Oryctolagus cuniculus: one gene and its partners. The protein of the gene in region 6 interacts with the protein of the main gene of each other region in a biochemical or structural test. Links are inferred from orthologs where the notes say so. Each region holds a gene or a part of one and is shown on either strand. Other genes may lie near its edges.

Evidence for each region.
Region 1: of the proteins of NFKB1 (region 6) and IKBKB, one has a biochemical effect on the other in vitro, tested with the Homo sapiens proteins (4 studies listed by BioGRID and IntAct). The link is inferred for Oryctolagus cuniculus from reciprocal best matches to the Homo sapiens genes NFKB1 and IKBKB.
Region 2: the proteins of NFKB1 (region 6) and BCL3 form a complex in vitro, tested with the Homo sapiens proteins (2 studies listed by BioGRID). The link is inferred for Oryctolagus cuniculus from reciprocal best matches to the Homo sapiens genes NFKB1 and BCL3.
Region 3: the proteins of NFKB1 (region 6) and ELF1 form a complex in vitro, tested with the Homo sapiens proteins (2 studies listed by BioGRID). The link is inferred for Oryctolagus cuniculus from reciprocal best matches to the Homo sapiens genes NFKB1 and ELF1.
Region 4: the proteins of NFKB1 (region 6) and DPF2 form a complex in vitro, tested with the Homo sapiens proteins (2 studies listed by BioGRID). The link is inferred for Oryctolagus cuniculus from reciprocal best matches to the Homo sapiens genes NFKB1 and DPF2.
Region 5: the proteins of NFKB1 (region 6) and MAP3K8 form a complex in vitro, tested with the Homo sapiens proteins (2 studies listed by BioGRID and IntAct, with this or other methods). The link is inferred for Oryctolagus cuniculus from reciprocal best matches to the Homo sapiens genes NFKB1 and MAP3K8.

Annotation. Positions count from the first base shown.
Region 1 is NC_091433.1:92,496,149-92,499,648, forward strand, and holds part of IKBKB (inhibitor of nuclear factor kappa-B kinase subunit beta), read left to right. Parts: intron 1-481; coding exon 482-570; intron 571-1,458; coding exon 1,459-1,548; intron 1,549-3,072; coding exon 3,073-3,197; intron 3,198-3,500.
Region 2 is NC_091449.1:11,841,759-11,844,578, forward strand, and holds the end of BCL3 (B-cell lymphoma 3 protein), read right to left. Parts: coding exon 2,768-2,820; intron 2,577-2,767; coding exon 2,372-2,576; intron 2,285-2,371; coding exon 2,196-2,284; intron 2,019-2,195; coding exon 1,941-2,018; intron 1,613-1,940; coding exon 1,445-1,612; intron 1,308-1,444; coding exon 1,190-1,307; intron 1,087-1,189; coding exon 899-1,086; 3' UTR 501-898; downstream 1-500. UniProt on the Homo sapiens protein: Contributes to the regulation of transcriptional activation of NF-kappa-B target genes. In the cytoplasm, inhibits the nuclear translocation of the NF-kappa-B p50 subunit.
Region 3 is NC_091440.1:60,213,364-60,216,863, reverse strand, and holds part of ELF1 (ETS-related transcription factor Elf-1), read left to right. Parts: intron 1-19; coding exon 20-127; intron 128-1,276; coding exon 1,277-1,444; intron 1,445-1,464; exon of another isoform or gene 1,465-3,500.
Region 4 is NC_091432.1:6,292,617-6,296,646, forward strand, and holds the start of DPF2 (zinc finger protein ubi-d4), read right to left. Parts: upstream 2,801-4,030; 5' UTR 2,574-2,800; coding exon of another isoform or gene 2,542-2,573; intron 1-2,541. UniProt on the Homo sapiens protein: Plays an active role in transcriptional regulation by binding modified histones H3 and H4. Is a negative regulator of myeloid differentiation of hematopoietic progenitor cells. Might also have a role in the development and maturation of lymphoid cells.
Region 5 is NC_091444.1:100,801,581-100,805,080, forward strand, and holds part of MAP3K8 (mitogen-activated protein kinase kinase kinase 8), read right to left. Parts: intron 2,314-3,500; coding exon 2,146-2,313; intron 1-2,145.
Region 6 is NC_091439.1:62,585,312-62,588,308, forward strand, and holds the end of NFKB1 (nuclear factor NF-kappa-B p105 subunit), read right to left. Parts: intron 1,364-2,997; coding exon 1,203-1,363; 3' UTR 501-1,202; downstream 1-500.

The DNA of each region.
Region 1 (3,500 bases), on a different chromosome or scaffold from region 6:
CTCCCACTTCCCACTTCTCCCTGGAAGCTGGCTCTGACCTTGTGAGACTCTAGACCCTGGGGCCACGGTGTTCTCGGCCCCAAGGGCCCTCCTCCCTGCCCACCCTGTGGAATTTAGATTTTTGCGCCTGTAGCCAAGAAGAGTTCTCTTCTCAAACTTTGTCGGTGTCAGCGTCACCTGGACTTGCCAATTCAGACTGTGGGTCCCCCAGGGTGTCTGAGGCAGTAGGATGCTGCTGGCCCACCTGCTGCTCTCGACTGTGGTTGGCCGCCTCCTGGACGCCAGGCTGAGAGCCTTTTCTTTGCATGGAAAATCCAGATTCCGGTGGCTCTGCCAGTGTAGCCTGGTCACCCCCCCCCCCTCCCCAGCTCCACTGAGAGTTTGTACACTAAGGCTGCGGCCCACTTCAGGGGCACAGGACGCTCCGATGGAGAGCGCGTTTCTGGCTTACTGAGAATTCACTCCCTCTGCGCCCTCGTAGCCTCTGCGCTTAGATACCTCCATGAGAACAGAATCATCCACCGAGATCTGAAGCCGGAGAACATTGTTCTGCAGCAAGGAGAGCAAAGAGTGAGTGGCCTCCCAGCACAGGGGAGTGGGCAGTGCTCGGGGCAGCTGCCCGTGGGAAAGGAGCAGCTCTGTACGCCTGTTTATATTTGCATTTCCTCGCCTGGTGGCTTTGCTTCTCTGGGGATCAGAATTCAGCAACAAGTCCTTGCTTGCAGATGGAGGCCAGTTTGAATGGCTCCCATTGTTAATTGCCCACGTTGCAGGAATCCGATAAGAACCTAATGTTTGTTGCCTCCACCCCCAGCCTTTGGGACCAGTGCTTCTCAGAAGCAGGCTGCGTTTGTTATGAGGGCCTCCACTTTGGTTGCTAGTGTACAAAGCGGCTACACTAGCTGCTTCCAAGCGTGGCTGGGAAGGGGCATCGAGAGCTGGGGCACCTGTTCCTCCAGCCTGGTCCAGTTCGCAGTCCCCCAGAGCTGTGAGTGAGCTGATCAACGACCACCCTGCTTAGGTGGGGTGAGGGGTAGAGGTTGGTGTGCTCAGCCGAGGGGCCGTGGTCCCTTGGCTCCTAGGACACCTGATCCCTTCAGACACATGGCCTTCCCAGGCCCAGCCTCTGACAGCCACAGGCTCCCCTTTGTTCAGCGCTCGCTCACGTTGCTGGCGATGCTAAGATGTGACAGCTGGGGAGTGTCGGGAAGGGGCTGACCCGGGCTCTGGGTCTGAGGTCTGGTGCACGGTGCGTCCATCTGACCAGCGGCCGAGCCAGGAGAACATGAGCCGTACAAGGGCGCCCTCCTGTGTGTGGTGGCTCTTAGGGATTCAGGATCTCATCCCACCTGGGAATTTAGAAATGACGTAGCTCTAAGGGCAGGCGACCAGAACCCTTGTAGAAGGACAGTGTCGCCTCCTAACCCTCAGGTTTTCCCTCCTCCCTTTCCTTTTCAGTTAATACACAAAATCATTGACCTGGGATACGCCAAGGAACTGGATCAGGGCAGCCTTTGTACCTCCTTTGTGGGGACCCTGCAGTACCTGGTAAGAAGTGGCATCTACGTTTGCCTCTCAGCTTCTCTCTGGTGGCCATGGTGGTGGGGCAGCCCCGTGCTGCCGGCTCTGTGTGGTCTCCGGTGTGAGGTCCAGCCTGTCACCAGTTCACGTCAGCCTGTTGTGCCCCCAGAGGCCCTGCGGAAGGATGTGGTCCTTGTCTCTGCTGCCGGAGGGCGTGGCTGGCTCCCTTACCCAGGCCCCATAACCTCGCCGGCCTCAGTGTTTTGTCTGAGGATAAAGAGCATGCAGTAGACGCGTGCTGGCGTGGAGACCGCGGTCTCTGTGAGGAGTCTCACGCATCGAGGAGCAGGCAGAGCTGTGCGCTCCACGCCCTCTGCATACTCCAGCCTAAATGTCGGGGTTCTGCCTGAGTCCCTCATTCCTCCGGGACACCAGCCTCGGCGGTTTGTGTAGCAGGCACTTGAAAGGCGCTCGACTGGCTGACCTCAGTCATCCTATCACTGAAGCCTGCCGACTGGGTGCCAGGCTTCTCTGTGACCCGGTTCCCAGCGTGCTGACGTGTGTGGGGCTGACTCAGGCACCTGGGTGCCCAGGACGAGTAGTTAAGTAGGGCCCGCTGAGCACTGCCCAGGCTCAGAGCTGAGGGACAGACCCCAGCGCTCTGACCCGCTGCTGAGTCACCACTCACCTGCGGGATTATTTGTAGATAATCAGATTGACCCGAACATCCCCACATTTCTTACTGGGACTCCTTGTTCTTCCTCCAGTGTCACAGTTCCCGCCAGCCTGTGCACAGGCCTGTCCCCATGCCTTTGCTATGACGGCCCTTTCCGGAACGGCCCCTCCCATCCGCTCGTGTGAAGAGCTTTCTGAGCCCAGCTTTGTGGCCCGTCCTGGTGCCCCACGCCCACCCCCCGCTCCCTCGCTTTGGCAGCAGTCCCTGCCAGAGTGTAACCACCCCGCCCTGTTGTGTGGTCAGGTGTTAACTCGGTTCAGGGTGTTTGGTGGTCATTCAGTGTGTGCGTCGTGTATCTGGTGCGGACGATGCATGTCCTGGCAAGTGCTGGTCATCGGGCACCTGCGATGCGTTGCCGGACGACTGGTGCGGATGGCGTGAGTGCTGAGTGTCTCTGGCGCCTATGAGGCGTATGCGTGCCAGCCATCTGGTGCGCTCTGTGTGTGTTGTGTGCCTGCTGTGTATGATGCGCGCGCTGGGCGTCTGGCGCTTACGACACGTGTGCCGTGTGTCTTCTGCTGCTGTTCTCCTTGCTTCCGTGTAGCCCACCCTCCCGTCTACAAACCACCTGCAGCTGTGGCCCGTCCCGAGCCGCTGCTCAGGAGTTCCCGTGTGTAAAGGGGGGAGCTGAAAGCACGGTGGGCGGGTAGGAGGTACCTTGACCCACCTCAGAATTGCCCCTGCCCTTAGCCCTTCTGTCTGCATTACTGGGAGCGAATGAGGCACGCTTGGGTGGTCACCTGCCGCCGGATAGGCCGGGGCACTGAGATGGTGGGTGATGGGAGCCCTGCCCGGCGCCGTGTCTGTCGCTGTAGGCCCCGGAACTGCTGGAGCAGCAGAAGTACACGGTGACCGTGGACTACTGGAGCTTCGGCACCTTGGCCTTCGAGTGCATCACCGGCTTCAGACCCTTCCTTCCCAACTGGCAGCCTGTGCAGTGGTGAGTGACGGCCGGCCACTTTGTGCCTTCTCCTCCCCAGGCACTTTGGGCTCGAGCCTGGAGACTTCTGCTGATGAATTTTCCTAGGATAGAGCGCTTTAAGAGAGGAGATTAAGATATGAACCTGAAAATTCTAAAACACGTTCTCTAATAAAGTCGGAGGACACAATTAAACTTTCTTGAAAGAGATTTATTTATCAGGGCTGGTGCTATTGCTCAGCGGGTTAAAGCCCCAGCCTGCAGTGCCAGCATCCCATATTGGCACTGGTTTGAATCCTGGCTGCTCCACTTCCCATCCAGCTT
Region 2 (2,820 bases), on a different chromosome or scaffold from region 6:
TTTGTTCACTGTGAACCAGTCGATGGGAGCTGTTTCCCAGGTAAATGTGAAAAATAAAAGACACACCATGCAGTGCAGATGATACATACAAATCGCCACGGGACGACTGCGGGTGGCAGTGTTAGGGACACTCGCAGGCCATCAGAACTGTGGTCGGTTGAGGGTTACCCCGGGACCCACACACTGCCGGATCCCCCAAAGCACACCCAGGGACACCATGGAATCCAGCAGGGCCCCTGGGCAGATGTCTCACACAGACACACAGACACACACACACACACACCAGGTCCTAACGGCACAGTGACGTCACCATGGCAACCTTCGCAGCTGAACCACGATGTCACACACAGTGGTGAGCGGTGCTCAGGCTGAGACGAACACAGCAGCTCACGGAGTCAGCTGCATACAGCAGACAGGTGCACCCACACACGCGTGCGCACCCACACACACGTGCACACCCCCCCCACACGCGTGCACGCTTCTTCCAGCCGAGCAAGGGATATGGTACAAAAATAGTTTATTACAAAAGAAATCCAACCAAAATGCCTAATAATTTACAGAGTGGTCAGTGCCCCCCTCGGCCCTCCTCCTTCGGCCCGGTACAGAGCCGGCCCCTGGCTCTCCACGGGACGCCTAGCTGGGTGGGATCCCAGACCCAGACGGGGCGGCTGCAGCCCAGGAGCGGCAGGGCCGAGTCCCGGGTGGGCGAGGTGAGGGTCTCTGTGCACAGAAGGGCCTGTGGGTAGGTGCCTGTGCCTTGGTGCAAAATCCTGGTCCCAAAGATTGGGGGGGGGGGGCAGAGTGAGATCTTCACAGTTTCCGGAAGGGTCGACCCCTGTGCTGCGGGGGGGCGGGTCGTTGAGTCCTCCTGAGTCCAAGATCTGCCCCCCCATCGGTCTCAGCTGCCTCCGGGGGCTGGGGAGGGGGGCACCGGCCGGCCAGGACCCCGCAGAACCCCAGGAAAGGGCAGGAAGGCGGGTGGAGACGGCGGGGGGAGGAAGAAGTTGGGGGGAGGCAGAGGGAATCCCGGGGCGTCCTTGGAGGGAGACTGGGAGGGCGAGGAGGTCGGTGATGCCGAGAGGAGACCTGCGCGGAGAGAGCCGGAGAGGCCGTGAGACACCAGGCCGGAGGGGAGGGCCGGGCCCGGACCTGGGTGCCGCGGCGGCGGGAGGGGGCGCTGGAGGCTCACCGTTGGAGCTCAGGCGGCTGCTGCCCTCAGGGGACGTGGTGGCACTGCGGTCCGGGGACGGCTCTCGCTGCGCCGCGGACGCGGCCCGGGTGGCCTTCCCCCGCAAGATGTCAATGACCTGGGGGCAGACGGGAGGGTCACCACGGGGTGCCCGTCTCCTGGCTCAGGGCGCACGGACTCCTGCCCGCGGAGGGCCTCCGTGTCGTCTCGGTGGGGCGCAGGGCGGGCACCGGCCCCGCAGGCGCGCGCACTCACCCGGCGGCTGCGCGCCACCATGAGCGGCGTGTCATTGTGGCAGTTCTTCAGCCCGCTGTCGGCGCCGCTGCGGACCAGCGTGCGCACGAGCGGGAGGAGCCCGCGGCCCGACGCCGAGTGCAGAGCCGAGCTGCCCGAGTACATCTGCGCGTTCACGTTGGCGCCGTGCTGCGGGCGGGGACGCGCAGTCAGGAGCGGGCCCTCGCGGGCGATAGAGTCTGCCCCCCCCACGCTCGTTGGCCAGGTCTTGGGACCCGAGCATATGGGGGGGGGGTCCTGGGTAGGTGGAAATGAGAACCCACAGCGGGCCACGGCCACCCTGGCCCGGCCAACTCCACTCGAGCTCGTAGGGGCCGGGTTGCGGGTGGGGTCGAGTGGAAGGACAGCGCCGGACCCGCCCAAGGCCGGAGAGCGGGGTCAGAGGGCCATGGGGATGGTGGGGTTGGGATCAGAGAGGGGGTGGGGGAGAGGCCAGGCCGGAGGGGGGCGAACGCACCTGCAGCAGCAGCTGCACCATGCTAAGGCTGTTGTTTTCCACAGCGTGGATGAGCGGCGAGCGGCCGCTCTTTATATCCTGCGGCGAGGAGGGAAGGGTTTGGGGTCTCTCGGCGGCGCGCCTCCCGGGCGCCCCGTCCAGCGTCTCCTTCCCAGGCGATGCCTCAAGTCCCGCCCACCCGGGCGCACTCCCCGGCTCGCCCCGCCCCCGGACCCGCCCCCGCCGGGCCAGGCCCCGCCCCCCGCGCATGCTCACCACCGCGTCGATGTCCGCGCCGCGCTCCAGCAAGAGCAGCACGGCTTCGTGGCACTCGGTGTTCACGGCCACGTGCAGGGCCGTGAGCCCTGGGGGAGGCGAGGCTCAGTCACACCGGGGCGTGGGGCCAGGCCCGGCCGGACAGCCCGACTCTGCCCCCCGCGGTGGGCACTCACCGTCGTAATTGCGGGCCTCCAGGTCCACCGTGCCCGGGGCCGCGCTGTCCAGCAGGGCCCGCAGGCAGGCCGGGCTGCGGTGCTCGCACGCCAGGTGAGCCGCCGTCTGGCCGTGGCGGTCCAGCGCCATGGGGCTGGCCCCTGCCACCACCAGCAGCCGGACCACGGGCGGCAGCGTGGTGATCACAGCCAGGTGCAGCGGAGTCTGGAGAACAGACAGGGTGAGGGCGCCGCGCCGCAGCCTGCACCCCAGGAGCGGAAACCTGGGGCGCCCCCTCTTCCAGACGCCGGAGCCAGGGCCCCGCCGCCCCTCCCCCCCCCCCGCCAGGCTCCGGGGTGCAGGCCCCGCCCCCGCCCTCCGGAGGCTCCTGCCTGAGCCCCGGGGCCCAGGCCCACCTGCCGCAGGTTGTTGTAGATATCCAGTTCCCGCCCGCCATGCTGGAAGAGGT
Region 3 (3,500 bases), on a different chromosome or scaffold from region 6:
TTTCTTTAATGTATTATAGTTGAAGCTTCTTGTCATAATGGGGATGAAACAATTGAAACTATTGAGGCTGCTGAGGCACTCCTAAATATGGATTCTCCTGGCCCTATGCTGGATGAAAAACGAATAAGTAAGTAGTTAACGATTGTTCTTGTTTTGCAGAGTTATTCTTGCCATCTCTCTCTGTTAGTAAATATAAAAAGACCAGAGACCATATTTTAGATTTTAAGGTATAGTACTCGTAAAGGAACATTTGTTAGAGTGTTCAGTTAAAGACTTTTAATTTAAGGGATGAATACTTCAGGAATAAAAAAATATTAGTTATCAAATAGTAGGTTTTGCAGGTTTGCTGTCTAAATAAGATCATGGGTGAAAGTATCAGTGTGTTTAGGTCCTAATCTCTTGTTTAGTTCTCTCTGTAGATACTTATCAATAAATAAACAAAAACACCATTGGAAATTTCATTAATACTTCATGACCTAAAATTCACTGCCACATCATTGATCTGCTTTTAAATCCATGTTCTCCTTTAATTTTAAAGATAGTTACTTATGGTCTTTATTTTTTGCTTTTGCAATTATTTACCTGAGAGTGACAGCAAAATGTTCTGGAAGCAGTGAGTACTCTAGTTGGTGACATCTGAGACAGTACTCTAGTGGAGGAAGTGTCTTGACTTGGATTGTAAATTACAAGCTTTTAATAGGTAGAGGAGACAGGAAAGGGCATTCAAACTAGAGGGAACATGTTGAGCCCGAGACACAAATGTCTCAAAAAGATGAAATAGTTGAGCAAAGAAATGTTTTTGTTCAGCTGAAGTGGAAGCTTCCTGGTGGATGGGAGATGAGATGGAAAGACAGGCTTGGTTTAGATTATGAAAGCTTTGAAAAACTTGGTTTGGAGTTTTTGGCTTGTTTTTATCCCTGGTAATCTATGGGAAGATGTGTGGATTTTATTGTTAAGATTTTCAGGTGTAAGGTTTTTGTATAAAGGAATATTATGAACAGATCAGACACAGGACTCAGAGCAGCAGTACGAAGAACGAGAGGAGATAGACAAGTTAGACTGGAGCTAGAAAGTAAATAAGAAAGATAATGAAATAGTCCTCTCCAGTCTGGACTGATTTAGGTACTTGATTTAGGGCAGAAGAAATAAAAGCAAGGAGTTGATTTCAAGATTTTATTTCTACTTTAGTCTTCATAGAAACAGGAACTTATTTCATGAAATTATTTTGGTTTGTAATGCACCATAGATTATAATTAGTTGATCTTATTTCCCCTAGATAATAATATATTTAGTTCATCTGAAGATGACATTGTTGTTGCCCCAGTCACCCATGTATCCGTCACATTAGATGGGATTCCTGAAGTGATGGAAACTCAGCAGGTGCATGAGACATATGCAGACTCACCAGGAGCCTCATCACCAGAACAACCTAAGAGAAAGAAAGGTGGGTAGTTTATCTGTTTAGGGCATACAGTCAAACCTTGATGTTGTAATCTAATATCATATTTTTTCAAGGATCAGTTTTTTAAGATTTATTTTATTCATTTGAATGGCAAAGTTAGAGAGGGAGAGAGAGATCTTTCATTCCCTGCTTTACTCCCCAAAAGGTTACAACGGCCAGGGCTGGGCCAGACTAAAGGCAGGAGCCAGGAGCTTCTTCTGGGTCTCCCACGGGTATGCAGGGGCTCAAGCACTTGGGCCATCTTCTGCTGCTTTCTCTGCTTATCAGGGAGCTTGATCAGAAGTGGAGCAGCTGGGATTGGGACCAGCACCCATTTGGGATGCAGGCATCACAGGTGGTGGGTTTACCCACTATGCCACAATGCCAACCCCATTAAGGATCAATTCTACACCAGTTAAAATGTATTTAAGAAAAAAATTGAGGGTACAACACATACATTAAGAGGCAGTTTTTCATATTAGAGTCATTCTTTTAAAATGCTTATTTTCAGCTACTTGAAAGGCAGAGCAACAGAGTGAGAAAAAGAGATCTTCCATTCACTGGTTCACTACCCAAGTACCCACAAAGGCAGGGCTGGGCAGGCCAAAGCCAGGAGTCAATAACTCCATCCAGGTCTTCTATATGGGTAGCAGGGGCCCATGTACTTCAGCTGTCTTCTGCTGCTTCCCAGGATGTATTGGCTGGAAACAAAGTAGCTGTGACCTGAACGGGCGCTCCCATATGGGATGTTGAAGGCATCTGAAGTGTAGACTTCACCCACTGCACCACAACACCTACAAAGAATGATTTTATCTATTTGAAATATTTGGTATATCTCACAGGAAACAAGTTAAAAAACAAAAACAAAAACAAAAACAAAAAAAACAAAAAAAACAAACAAAAAAAAACTAGGCCCAGAAAGAACTTAGGGGTAAGGGCAGATGAGCTCCCTCCCAAAAGGCATAGTTTGAAAGTCACCAGTCTGTGCCAGTGATTCTAATGGAAGATTTCAATGAATTAAAAGTTAACAGGTAGGAAATTGAAGAGGAAAATGTTGCAGTGTGTTGCCTGGGAATTTTTAAGTTTCCACAAATTTTCATTGTATTGATGATTCTGTTCCTGCTTGTTTGATATTTTGAGTTTAGTCCTTGTTCATTACAGCACCAACCACCAGTAACCTAAGTTTACATGAAAGTAAGAGAAATTCCAAGAGTCAAAAATGAAGAAGAAAGTGAAAATAGTGTGAGCCGACCTTGCAGCAGCTCTGAAGGGTTGAGAAGGATTTGCTAACAAATTGTTGCCCATGAAGAGGCAAAAGTGGAGGTCTTAGACTTATTTAAGATGGTTTATTGGGTAGAGATCACAGCATCTAACTGGAACCCTTGAAGTACTATAATTTCAAGGGTGAAAAATTCTACCAGTTGACACAGACAGATGTACTGGAAGTTTGTATTTCTCAGCAAGGGTTCTGAGTAGAGAAACTAATTCTTCCTTTGAGAATTCAGTAATCCTAGACTTCAACATTTGAGGAATTCCTAGCCAAGAAATTAGCATAAGAATAGTCCAAGGGTAATAATGACTTTGGTGCAACAGGTACAAGCTTTTGGTTTTTTTTTTTGTTGTTGTTGGACAGGCAGAGTGGACAGTGAGAGAAGGAGAGGGAGACAGAGAGAAAGGTCGAGAAAGGTCTTCCTTTTCTGTTGGTTCAACCCCCAGTGGCCGCTGTGACTGGCGCGCTGTGGCTGGTGCACCACGCTAATCCGAAAGCAGGAGCCAGGTGCTTCTCCTGGTCTCCCATGTGGGTGCAGGGCCCAAGCACTTGGGCCATCCTCCACTGCCTTCCCGGGCCAGAGAGCTGGACTGGAAGAGGGGCAACCGGGACAGAATCCGGTGCCCTGAACAGGACTAGAATCCTGGGTGCTGGCGCCGCAGGCAGAGGATTAGCCTGTTGAGCCGCGGCACTGGCCATGGTACAAGCTCTTGTAAAACTACGCTGGTGATTTATATATTCACCTAGGCTGCATGGAGTTTCCTCAGATAAAGTGCTATTGAAGGTTTC
Region 4 (4,030 bases), on a different chromosome or scaffold from region 6:
CCATGGGGTGCAGGGCCCAAGCACTTGGGCCATCCTCCACTGCACTCCCGGGCCACAGCAGAGAGCTGGCCTGGAAGCGGGGCAACCGGGACAAAATCCGGCGCCCCGACCAGGACTAGAACCCGGTATGCCGGCACCGCAAGGCAGAGGATTAGCCTAGTGAGCCGCGGCGCCGGCCAATATATCCCTCTTAAAGTGAGGGCACAGGTGACTTCTCTCCCCAGTCTCCCTAATACCCATGAAAACATCTGCAACACCGTCAATCCGGACTTGGGAATAAAACGGCCTTGCCGGGCTCCAAGTCAGCACGCGAACACGGACACTTAGTCAACCTGCACGAACCCTGCATGGACCTCAGTGTCTCTTCCGCATTTTCGGGAGCTTGCACTCGCTGAGCTCTGACATCCCAGGGACCCACGAGCAGGCAACCCCGGGCGTGAGGAGCTGCACGCGCTACGTCTCCCGGGCTCATGCCCACCTCTGGCGCTACACCAACAAACCCTGCTCTGCAATCGGATGGGGGCTTTCGGTGAGCGGCACAGTGGAGCGTCCCTCATCCCCAGCAGGCAATCGCGGGACGGCATCGCCCAAGCACAGTCCGCCTGGATGCAGGCAAGGACCCTGCGCTGGAGACCTGAGCGGGGCTGGCTCCCATCGCTGGCCGTGAGGAGGCAGCCACGTCCTCCCCACGCAGAGGAAACTGGACAAACAAGGCTCAGTGCAGCGGCTGTTTCTGCTGATGCGACTGACGCTGACGCTGGGAACAGAAGGGTCCGCGGGCCGCAGGGCTCGGGGATGCGTGAGACGCTCTGTCGAGCTCTGGGGACCCTAGGGGACTTCAGAAGCGGGGCAAGCGGCAGTCTTGGGGTAACGGGGCTGGGAAGGACACCGCAGTGGGCACTGTGGGAAGCATCTGACGAGGAGAGCGAGAGATCGGTCTTAGGAACGCAAGGCCGTGTAGCAAGATATCTCACGTAAATTATCCTGCAGCTCTGGTACCTGACTCAGAGAGTTCCCAAACCACTGTTTTGCACCACCGTACTCTCACAGCGAGACCCGAGAGGGGGCGTCCACTCTGCTACCACGGTAGAGACAGAGCACTCACAAAGAGAACACCCTCTCCCCGACGAGCTGCGGGCGGCCCTGACCTTGACGGGGGCTCAGGGACTGCATCTCGGTGCAGGGGCGCGAAGCCTCCTAGGGAAGCCTGCAGCAGTCCCGGCCCCCAGAGAAGCTGGGGTCTCGCTGTCGGCACCCGGAGTCGGCGGCTGATGACCTTCACAATCCCTCCGGTTCTTCCGAGACCTGAAAAGCCAGGCTGCAGCTACGCGGCCGACCCCCTGGCTCAGACGGCGGGCGAAGCCGAGCTGCCAAGGCCAAGGGCATCCTCCCCCTCAGAACCCGGCAAGGCCGCAGCACAGGCTTCCCAGGTAGAAGCTTCAGGAACCGAGCCTAGGTGGGCCCTCCCGGGGGGGGGGGGGTCAACAAAGAGCACGGCGGGCAAACAAAGAGCCCGCGAGTCAGGAAGGCATCAGAGGGAGGGAAACGCCAGCCCAGAGCTGGGGAACCGGCGTGGGCAGATCGCAGAAACCACCGCGTCGGGCGGGGGGCTGGCTCCCAGGGGCAGCAGGACAGAGCAAGAAGCAAGTCAGGAAAAAAAAAACCAAACCACAAGCCAGGGAGAAGGCACTTAGCTTAATGGAACCGGGGAAAGCGCCGCGGGCAGGGGGAGGCGACCTGCTCGGCCACCACAAAGAGGAGACGCGGGGTCCAGAGAGCACGCCCCGCACCTGACCTTGGCGTCCAGCCAGAATCCAAAAAGCCCTAACTGGACGGCCAGACGCGTCCGCGCGGCGGCGACAAGGCCACCCCAGGCTCGCCCACGGGCACCAGCCCGCTTCCCAACGCACCGGACTCTTCCTCGGGGGGCAGGCGGCTGGCTCGTGTCACCAAGTCCCGCAGCATCCCCCAGGTCCCCGACCACCACCCAATTTAGCTCTGCCCGACCCCTGACCCGCACGACGGCTCCGGGTCGCCCGGAGGACGCCCCCCGGCCTGGCCCGCTCGGGCCCCGCTCCCCCTCAACTTCTCTCCCTTCTTCTCCGCGCTGCCTGCGTCCTGCGCACCTGCTACCCCAGCCCCGCAGGGACCGCCGAGCCTGCTGCTCCGGGCCAACGGCCGCGCGTGGCGGGGACTCGCCGGGGCCCCCCGGGGCCTGGGCTCGGCTCCTCCGGGCCGCAGCCTGAGCGCCGCACTCCGCGACCTGCAGGCCCCGCGGCGGCTCCCACACAGCCCCGCACAGCGGCCGCGGGGCAGGGGCTCCCGCGTGCCCCCCGCCCAGGGCCTCCACAAGTTTCCAAAGAGGCGCAACGTCTTCTCCGGAGTCCTCCCCCCCCCCGCGTCGCACTCCCCACCCGGAGCGGCAACCACGGCCTTCCCGGGCCCGTCCCCCCGGCCGCCTCCTCTCTTCCCGCACCGCCCCCTACTCCCAGGCCCCTCACAAGACCTCTCCGCCTGGGAGAGAAAGAAACGACCACTCACAGCTTCACTACATTCTCCACCACCGCCGCCATCTTCCCTGCTCCTCTCCCTCAGGCCGGGAGGGCCCGGAGCCCGCAGCGCGCAGGCGCCGGCGCCGCGGCGGGGCCCCGGGTGCCGCGTCCCTGTGCGCACGCGCCGTGGCTGCTCGCGAGCGCCGGTGCCCCGCCCACCGCGCCGCCGCGCGCGCGCCCTGTCTCTGCGCACGCGCCGCCTGTGCGCGCCGGGGAGCGAGGAGCTCCGGGCCTCTGGGCGGGGGGCGCCCGGCCTTCGGGTTTAGCGCAGCGAGGGAGCGCTCGGGCCGGTGCAGGACCGAGACGGCAGAGGCTGGCGGAAGCCGGGAGGCCCAGAGACGGGCTGGACGTATCCTGGCTCCTCGCCGACCTTTGTGGCTTCGGTTAACGCTTTTACCGCACGGGTGCGGTGCGGTGCGGTGCGGTGCGGTGCGGGCGGCGGGAGGTGAGAGGGGCGCGCCGCACCTCCGGCCCCCTAAGCGCGGGCAGCCTCGGTGCTAGCTGGCGGCCGGGTCTCTCCTCCACCCGGCTGAATGGCGACTCGGGCCCCAGCGGAGCCCTGGAATCAGCTCCCGACGGAGTCGCCCAGGGTCGACCCCAGCAGACTGAGAGACCTGCTCTGTGTCCTGGTGGGCTTCTTGATCGGTCCCTGCTTTTCCAGACCCTGCCCCGGCCGCCTCCCGCGCTCAGGCGCCCCCGGCCCAGCGCCCCAGGCTTCGTCCTTGCCCCTCGCAGCGCCAGTTCCAAGATGCGCCTGGGGCCTGCCCCCACGTGTTAGCATTTCCGAGTGAGGCCGTGTCTTCCGTCCCTGCGATTCAGGACGGTGCCTGCCTGGTCGGAGTCGAGAGGAACTGGCCGTTGCTTACCCTGCACCGCACCTGAGTTTGAGTGGTGTCGCAGTGTGGAAGGGAAGCCGGCACGATCCTGTTACCCAGAGGACTGCGGGGCCCCGGGGGTCAGAGCTCCCCATGCTAACCTCCTGCACCCTAGGAGGTTAGAAGAGCTCGCTTGGGTCCCTGCCACCCACAGGGCAGATCTGGCCTGGGTCCTGGGCTGCTGCTTGCCAGCCCGGGCTGTGGCCGGCACCCGGGACGTGAACCAGCGATGGAAGATCTCTGTCTCTCTGTCCTCCCCCTCTCCGCCTTTCAAGTAAAATTGAATGCATAGTTTGCGAAAGTTCGCCAGCACTAAGCATCCGAGTGCACCTGCCCTATGATCCAGCAAGCCCCTCCCTCTATGAGAACGAGGGATTACCACATCACGAACGAATCTCCAGCACTTAATATCGATCCAGAGAGGCCAGATGCACGAGAACACACTGTACGGGCTCATTTACGTCAAGTTACACAACAGACTCATTATCGCGAGAGGGCAGGAGAGGGGACAGGAGCTGGCACTGGGGGGCGAGGACTGTTATACATCCCCCCTGTTCTCTTTGTAACCGGCAACACGAGACCTGTGCATTTCTCTGTATGTGT
Region 5 (3,500 bases), on a different chromosome or scaffold from region 6:
TGTCAGCAAGAAAGCAGTTCTTTAGGTGTAACCAGCTTTGGACCTGTCTCCGAAACACGGTGCTAGCTAAAAAGGTAGTGAGATGCCCAAGTGCGTACCTTAATTTCCCATTTATGTGAAATGTTTAGCCTGTCCGTTCCTATCTGCACAGACGTTCCCACGAAGAATATACTAAGAACCCACCAAGAGCAATCGGCTCAGAGCATAGGGGTTTTAGGCTTCAGGTAACACTTCTTTTGAGGCTTTTGGGGGGTTTTTGATTATCTCTGTGTGTTTCAGTCTTAAGACAAGGACAGTTTCAAAATTAAATGTTAGTACTGTAAGGAAAACCACCCACACAACTATTTTCCCATGCTTTTTGTGACTTGCTGAGAAACGACTCAGCAGTTCTAACATCTTGAAAAATCTGCAGACCTTTCTCAGCGCACCTTAAACACAAACCCCTCTCAACGCAAGCTTCAACCCGCTGGCTACAAGTCTTCTACGTTCAGATACCCCTGCCAAAGTGCTAAGCTCATTTAATGACGGTAACAAGGACTGGGACGTAACATTCAGCAATCATTATTATCTTTAAAATTATTTGAGCAGTACAGAGAGAGAGCGAGCTAGCCGGTGAGTTTCCTGGTTCATTTTCCAAATGCCCACGACAGCCAGAGAGAGAGAGAGAGAGAGAGAGAGAGAGCGAGCGAGCTGGTGAGTTTCCTGGTTCATTTTCCAAATGCCTGCGACAGCCAGGGCTGGCTGGGAGCTGGGGACTCGATCCAGGTCACGGGCGTCGGGGGCAAGAACCCACTGACTTGAGCCATCCCCATTGCCTCCCAGGGTCTCCATAAGCGAGAAGCTGGAGTGTGAGCTGGCCCTGGGTATGGAACCCAGGCACTCTGATAGGGGACATGGGTGTCCTGGCTGTGCCTTAACACCTAGGCCAAACATCCACTCCTTTATTCTATTTTTTGTAACTGAAAAGCGAGTGCACTTCAATTAATTCTTCGTTAGAAGTCCAGTCTCTTCTCTCCCGACCTGTCTTTCCTATTTCTCTTATATAAACGGAATGTCACCAGGCAGATCTGCCTTTGGGTCTGGCTCAACACCACGGTCCTGAGACTCACGGATATTATGGTTGTCACGCGTGGATTCTCGTTGCCGCCCAGTGTTCCACTGTATAAACACCTGGGAAGTTTCCAGCTTGGGACACCCAGCTAACAGTGCCGACCTGAACAGCCTAGCGCCCAGCTTTCAGCTTGTGGTGAGCATGAGCGCACGGGCCACGCCCTGCCGAGTGTACCTACAGACCTGGAACTGTTGGGTCACAGGGTGCGTGAGCACCCAGCACGGGAGGGGGGGTGAGCTGCCCAAGAGCTGCAATGTGGCAGCACCCCAGGTGCTACTGTCTAATCAGGACAGGTGAGTTCTTAGTCACCGCTGGTTTTCGACTCAGCCCTTTCAATCCACAGTCCCGAGTAGCTTTCTGTTACCCCAGCTTCTGCTCCTCTGCCCGGGCCCCCTCCCTACAGGGGAGGAAGAATGAAGCTACTCTTGGGGTGCAGGTGTGAACACCGAGCCTCGGCCCCCCTCCACTCAAAGGCAAAGACGTCATCCAAGCTGGGGCGCTTTCCTCTAACCAGATAGAATTCCACAGCGCACCAAAGCAGACATCTGAGGGCTGAATGTCCCCCTAGGAAATCCAGAAACACAAACGTATCTCAGGGCACAGCCGGTAAAGCCATCACCTGGCGACGCCATCATCCCATGTGAGAGCAGGTTGGAGTCCCGGCTGCTCCACTTCCGATCCAGCTCCCTGGTAACATGCTTAGGACAAACAGCGAAGATGGCCCCTGCACCCAGATGGGAGACCTGGATGAAGCTCCTGGCTCCTGGGTTTGGCCTGGCTCAGACCTGGTCATTGTGGCCATCTAAGAAGCGAACTAATAGATGCAAGATATCTCTCTCTCTCTCTCTCTTTCTGTGTCTCCCCCTTTGACTTTCAAATAAACAAATAAATCCTTAAAAAGAAATGTGCTGGGCAGAGCACCCTTGGAAAGCAGGATCCCCTCAAAGGGTCGGAACTTCCGATGCCTGCAAATGAACCCGCTGAAGCCAGAAAGGCGAACACGCCCGGGGAGCTCCCGCTGAGAAAGCACGCACCAGTTTACACGCCATTCTCTTCTTCGTCTTGATATCCTGGGCGAGGTACACTTTGCCGAAGGCCCCGCGAGGAATGAAATCAGAGCCGATGTTCCTGTAAGTCAGCTTCCAGGGGACAAGGAGCACGTCAGAGTCGATCTGGTACCGGCCGTTCTGGGGGGTGATGACCTGGGGCAGAAGGAGGGGCAGGAGTGAGGATTGCGGGCGGAGCAGGCCTTGCTGTAGATAAGCGGCCGGAGATAAGCTGGAAGTGCTGGATGGTGTTTGCAGTTCACGGGGCAGCGTGCCAGCCTCGCTAGGCAGAGACTATATTTAGAACTTGAGCAAGACAGAGAAAGCATGAAACAGACACATATCCCCGGTCAGGCCCGGTGAGCAATGAGTTGCCAAACAGAGCCTCCAACGCATTGTTTATGTAAAGCAGCATGACTCGTGTCATCAAACGGCTTAGAATAAAGACTGCAGAGCCACAAACCGTGCCTGTGCATGGACGCGCCCCTGTCTGAGTACGCGAACCTGTTTGCTGGCATGGCTGTTACTACTCCACGGTGCGCACAGAAACAGCATGGAAATTAACTGGCGATCACGGAGGGTTTGGGACGGCAACGTGTCGGGCCAGACTTACGAGCTGCCAATGCCACAGACATGACGTGGGGGCAGCATTACTCCTCATCCACTTACTCACTTCTTACTGTTCGCACGCATACTGGGTGCCAAGCCCCGCGTTTCCTGCTCAAGATACAGTCACGAGCTATGGAGGGAGATCAGTGACCCCTGACCTCCAAGAGGAAACGTCTAGAACCAAGGGTCTCCAAGCAAGTGGGCTTGGAAACTAAAAAAGCATTGTGGGTTCCCAGAGCAGGCGCGTTTGTCCAAACTCATCCACCTACACTGCAGATCTGTGCATTTCACTGCCAATAAAGTGTACAGGGAGTCTCTGGTTTACCGATGGCTCGACACAAGGATTTCTCCTATTTACGATGGGGCAGAAGCCACGGGCTTCAGCACCAGCTGTGCTTTGATTCGTGGGCTGGGGTCTTTTCCTGGGCAGTGGCAGCAAGTGCAACCCCCATTGGCTTCCACGGTCCTACAGAGACACAGAGCACACCTACTGTGTGCGTGTGGCCAAGCTCTGATGTCCAGTAGGTCCGGTGGACTGAATGTGTTTTTGCCTTGAGACATGCTCCAGTTACAATGGGCCTGTTAGGACACGGCCCCGTCGTAAAATGCAGAGCATCTGCACATCTCAATTTTTACAGAAGAAGAAACTTCGAGGCAAAATAATTATAACTAAAATAAAAACATATTCGTGTGAGAATCCAGAGCAACTAGGGCCTGGAACCCATGCCTAAGAA
Region 6 (2,997 bases):
GGCCGAGGGCAGGTAGCTCTCAGCAATGGAGGAATTCTGGAAGGAGCCCCGGCGGCAGACCAGCAAATCCTTGTTAGAGTGGGAACTTGGTTAACCAGTGCAGTGTTCACCAGAGCACCTCATCTGAAACCGTTTCTTTTCTCTTTTTCCACCTCTGAGTGAAGAGGGTTTAGCAAAGCTTCTTGCTTGTCCAGGGCCTTCTAGTACACTGGAATTTCAGAAGATGTGTGGCAGAGGCAAAGGAGAAGACGGTGAAGAGGTCTGGTGTTGTGAGAGATGACACGGTCTACATGAGATGGGCCAGGCTGGGATTTGACAACCGAAGGCTTGCATCTTAGCTTAAAACATTTGTCTTTTGGTAAATGTTTTGTTCATTGCTAGATAAAAAAAAATGACTCAAAAGGGGAATCGGAATATAATAATCAGGCTATGGAGTGATCCCATGATTACAAGGAATCATCTTAGGAAAGTACTGGCAGAGATCAAACAAGGTGAGATCATCAATTTGCTTTTCCTTTTATTATAAAAGTAAAATAAAAAATAGCATTTATAAATCCAACATTTTTTTCTTTAAAGTATTTGATCTAAAAAACATATTTACAATAGCAAAATGCAGAAAATGGTGGAGAAATTTTCAGCAATGATTGTAACTGTGTTTAAATATCGATAAGTACATGTTGTTTTCAAATCACGGAGATAACCACGTTAGAAAAAGCAATGTTTTTTTTGTTTTGTTTTGTTTTTTTATTGCACACCAAGTGACTCTCCTTATAGAATATCCCTTTTCTTCACCCTTAATCTGAACGCACAAATGTGCCACGGACGGCCAGCAGGAACACTGGGTGGGGACAGTGACAGCTCTAAATGACAGTGGGAACGCAGCAGAGGGACAGCAGCAACGACAACAGGAAGCAGCCGTAATCCAGGAGCAGCTTTGAAAGCTCAAGAAGCTACCTCCCCCCCAACGACGCGTCAGCGCAGCCGAGTGCTGTGATCGCTACACTACCTGCAAGGGAGCCAAACTAAAATCCATTACGAACCAAGAAAGGCAGTCCAGCCAGGGGCCTGGAATTAAATCGACAATGATTCAGGTAGGCCGGTCCTCCTCCAAGCACCTTGGGACGCACTTTACCTTCCTTCCGGTGGGCAATACAGTGGAATTCAGGGCTTTGGTTTACACGCTGTGGGACACTGCTGGGAGGCTAGATTTTGCCTTCGAGAGGTCCTTCTTGCCCGTACTCGTGGGGCATTTTGTGAAGAGTTAGCATCGAGCCGCTGCTGGGGAGGGACTCCGTGAAGCTGAGTCTGCGGAATGACGTCTCCACGCCGCTGTCACAGACGCTGTCGCTGTCTGGCAGCTCATCTGTGGGGAGAAAGCACAGACTGACGGGGGAACAGCCTCTGCTCTCACAGCCTTACCGTCCAGCTGGGTTGTGAGCTGGCCTCTAAGAGGCCCAGGGACGACTCATCTGCTGGCTTCCAGCAGTCGGTGTGTCCCACCTACACGGCCTGCTCACTGCCGCCGGTCCCGGTGGTGTGTGTGTGGGGGGGTGGCAGATGCCGTCTCACGTAAAACCTGCAGCCGCGAGTGCCAGCCGAATGTTTTCACATCTTTCTCTTGCAATCTAGCCTGTGTTTACCAGAATCCTTTCTGAATTCTCTTGACTCAAAATGCACCTGCTTTCTTAGAAATCAGATGTATTTTTCCAACCACTGTATCACCTATTTTATACTTGGGGAAACTGCTGAACCTAGGCAAAATAAATGAACAAAGTAGCAGCTAAAAATGAAAAATCTGTGAGCTGCTTAGGCTTTTCAACAGTATATACTGTCTCAAAACAGTTTTGGTGGCAAAAAAAAAAAAAAAAGGGCATTTTGATGAAAATGAGTCCATTCTGGAAAACTAGGTTGAGTTCTCCTTTCTGAGAAGTACTCTTAGGGATGTGACCAATGAAAATAATAGATATTAGAATACTAGGGCTTCAATGGCAGCTGATGACTATTGTGTTGGTATTAATTTATCCAATCAACCAGACTTTATTTGATCTATGTTCTAGGAACTTATTTTAAAACTAACTGCAAATTAAGGGATTAATTCTTATTTTTTTCTTTGAATTTTTCTGTAGAAGGAGCACTGGGTCATAAGGCAGGAGATCTGGGTGGTTCTCCTAGTGGGCACAAGGACATCCGTCCTTAGTCCCCTAGGCAAGCCCCCCTCGCAGGGCAACACTGCTGGCCAGCAGGAACCACCCAGGTGAGGCGCTTTCCGGGAAGCGGGAGAGAAGGGCTCTAGGCCCTAGGAAGCAGAGAGAAGGCCTCGGTGGAAGGGGAGGAGGGAAGAGCTTGTCAGTGCAGCTGGAAAGAGTAAACGGCTCAAGCAGGGACAGTGTTTCTCCACCTTAAATGTGTGCTTGGTGACGATTCGCTGAGTGGATGAATGGAGAGGAGACAACAGGAGAAACAGATCTCACCGATTTCACACGTGGACGGCATCATCTGTTGTGGATGGGAGGTGGACAGAGAGGAAGCAAAGGGACTGACTGGGAGCTGTCTCGGGGATCTAGGCAAGACGTGAGTGGACTGGACTGGGAGCGGTGCTGACGGTTACTTCTCAGATTTGTGTCTCCTTCCTGGTCGGATGGCAGTGCTTCTAACACACGTGGCCACCCAGGGTTCTGTGCAGAGCAGTAGGGAGGGCTGTGGAGAGGCCAGGAGTGGAGGACCGGGGACTCTCCCTGGGGGAGCAGGGAGCGGTTGCCTGGGACACACGCACGTTGAGGGGATGAGAGGGACGGCGACGTGGAGGCTGCTGGTCAGTAACAAGGGCAGGGCCAGTGGAGACCTGTGCTGGTGCCTCGACAGCAGGGGGTCAAGGAAAGGACAGAGGTGAAGAGGTGGGAAAGGCTCTATGAAATTCTTCTGTGTAGGGGAACTGAGCGATTGGCCTGTTGATAAAGGGGATGTGGTTCAGGGCCATGGCTGCTCTCCGTTTGTAAA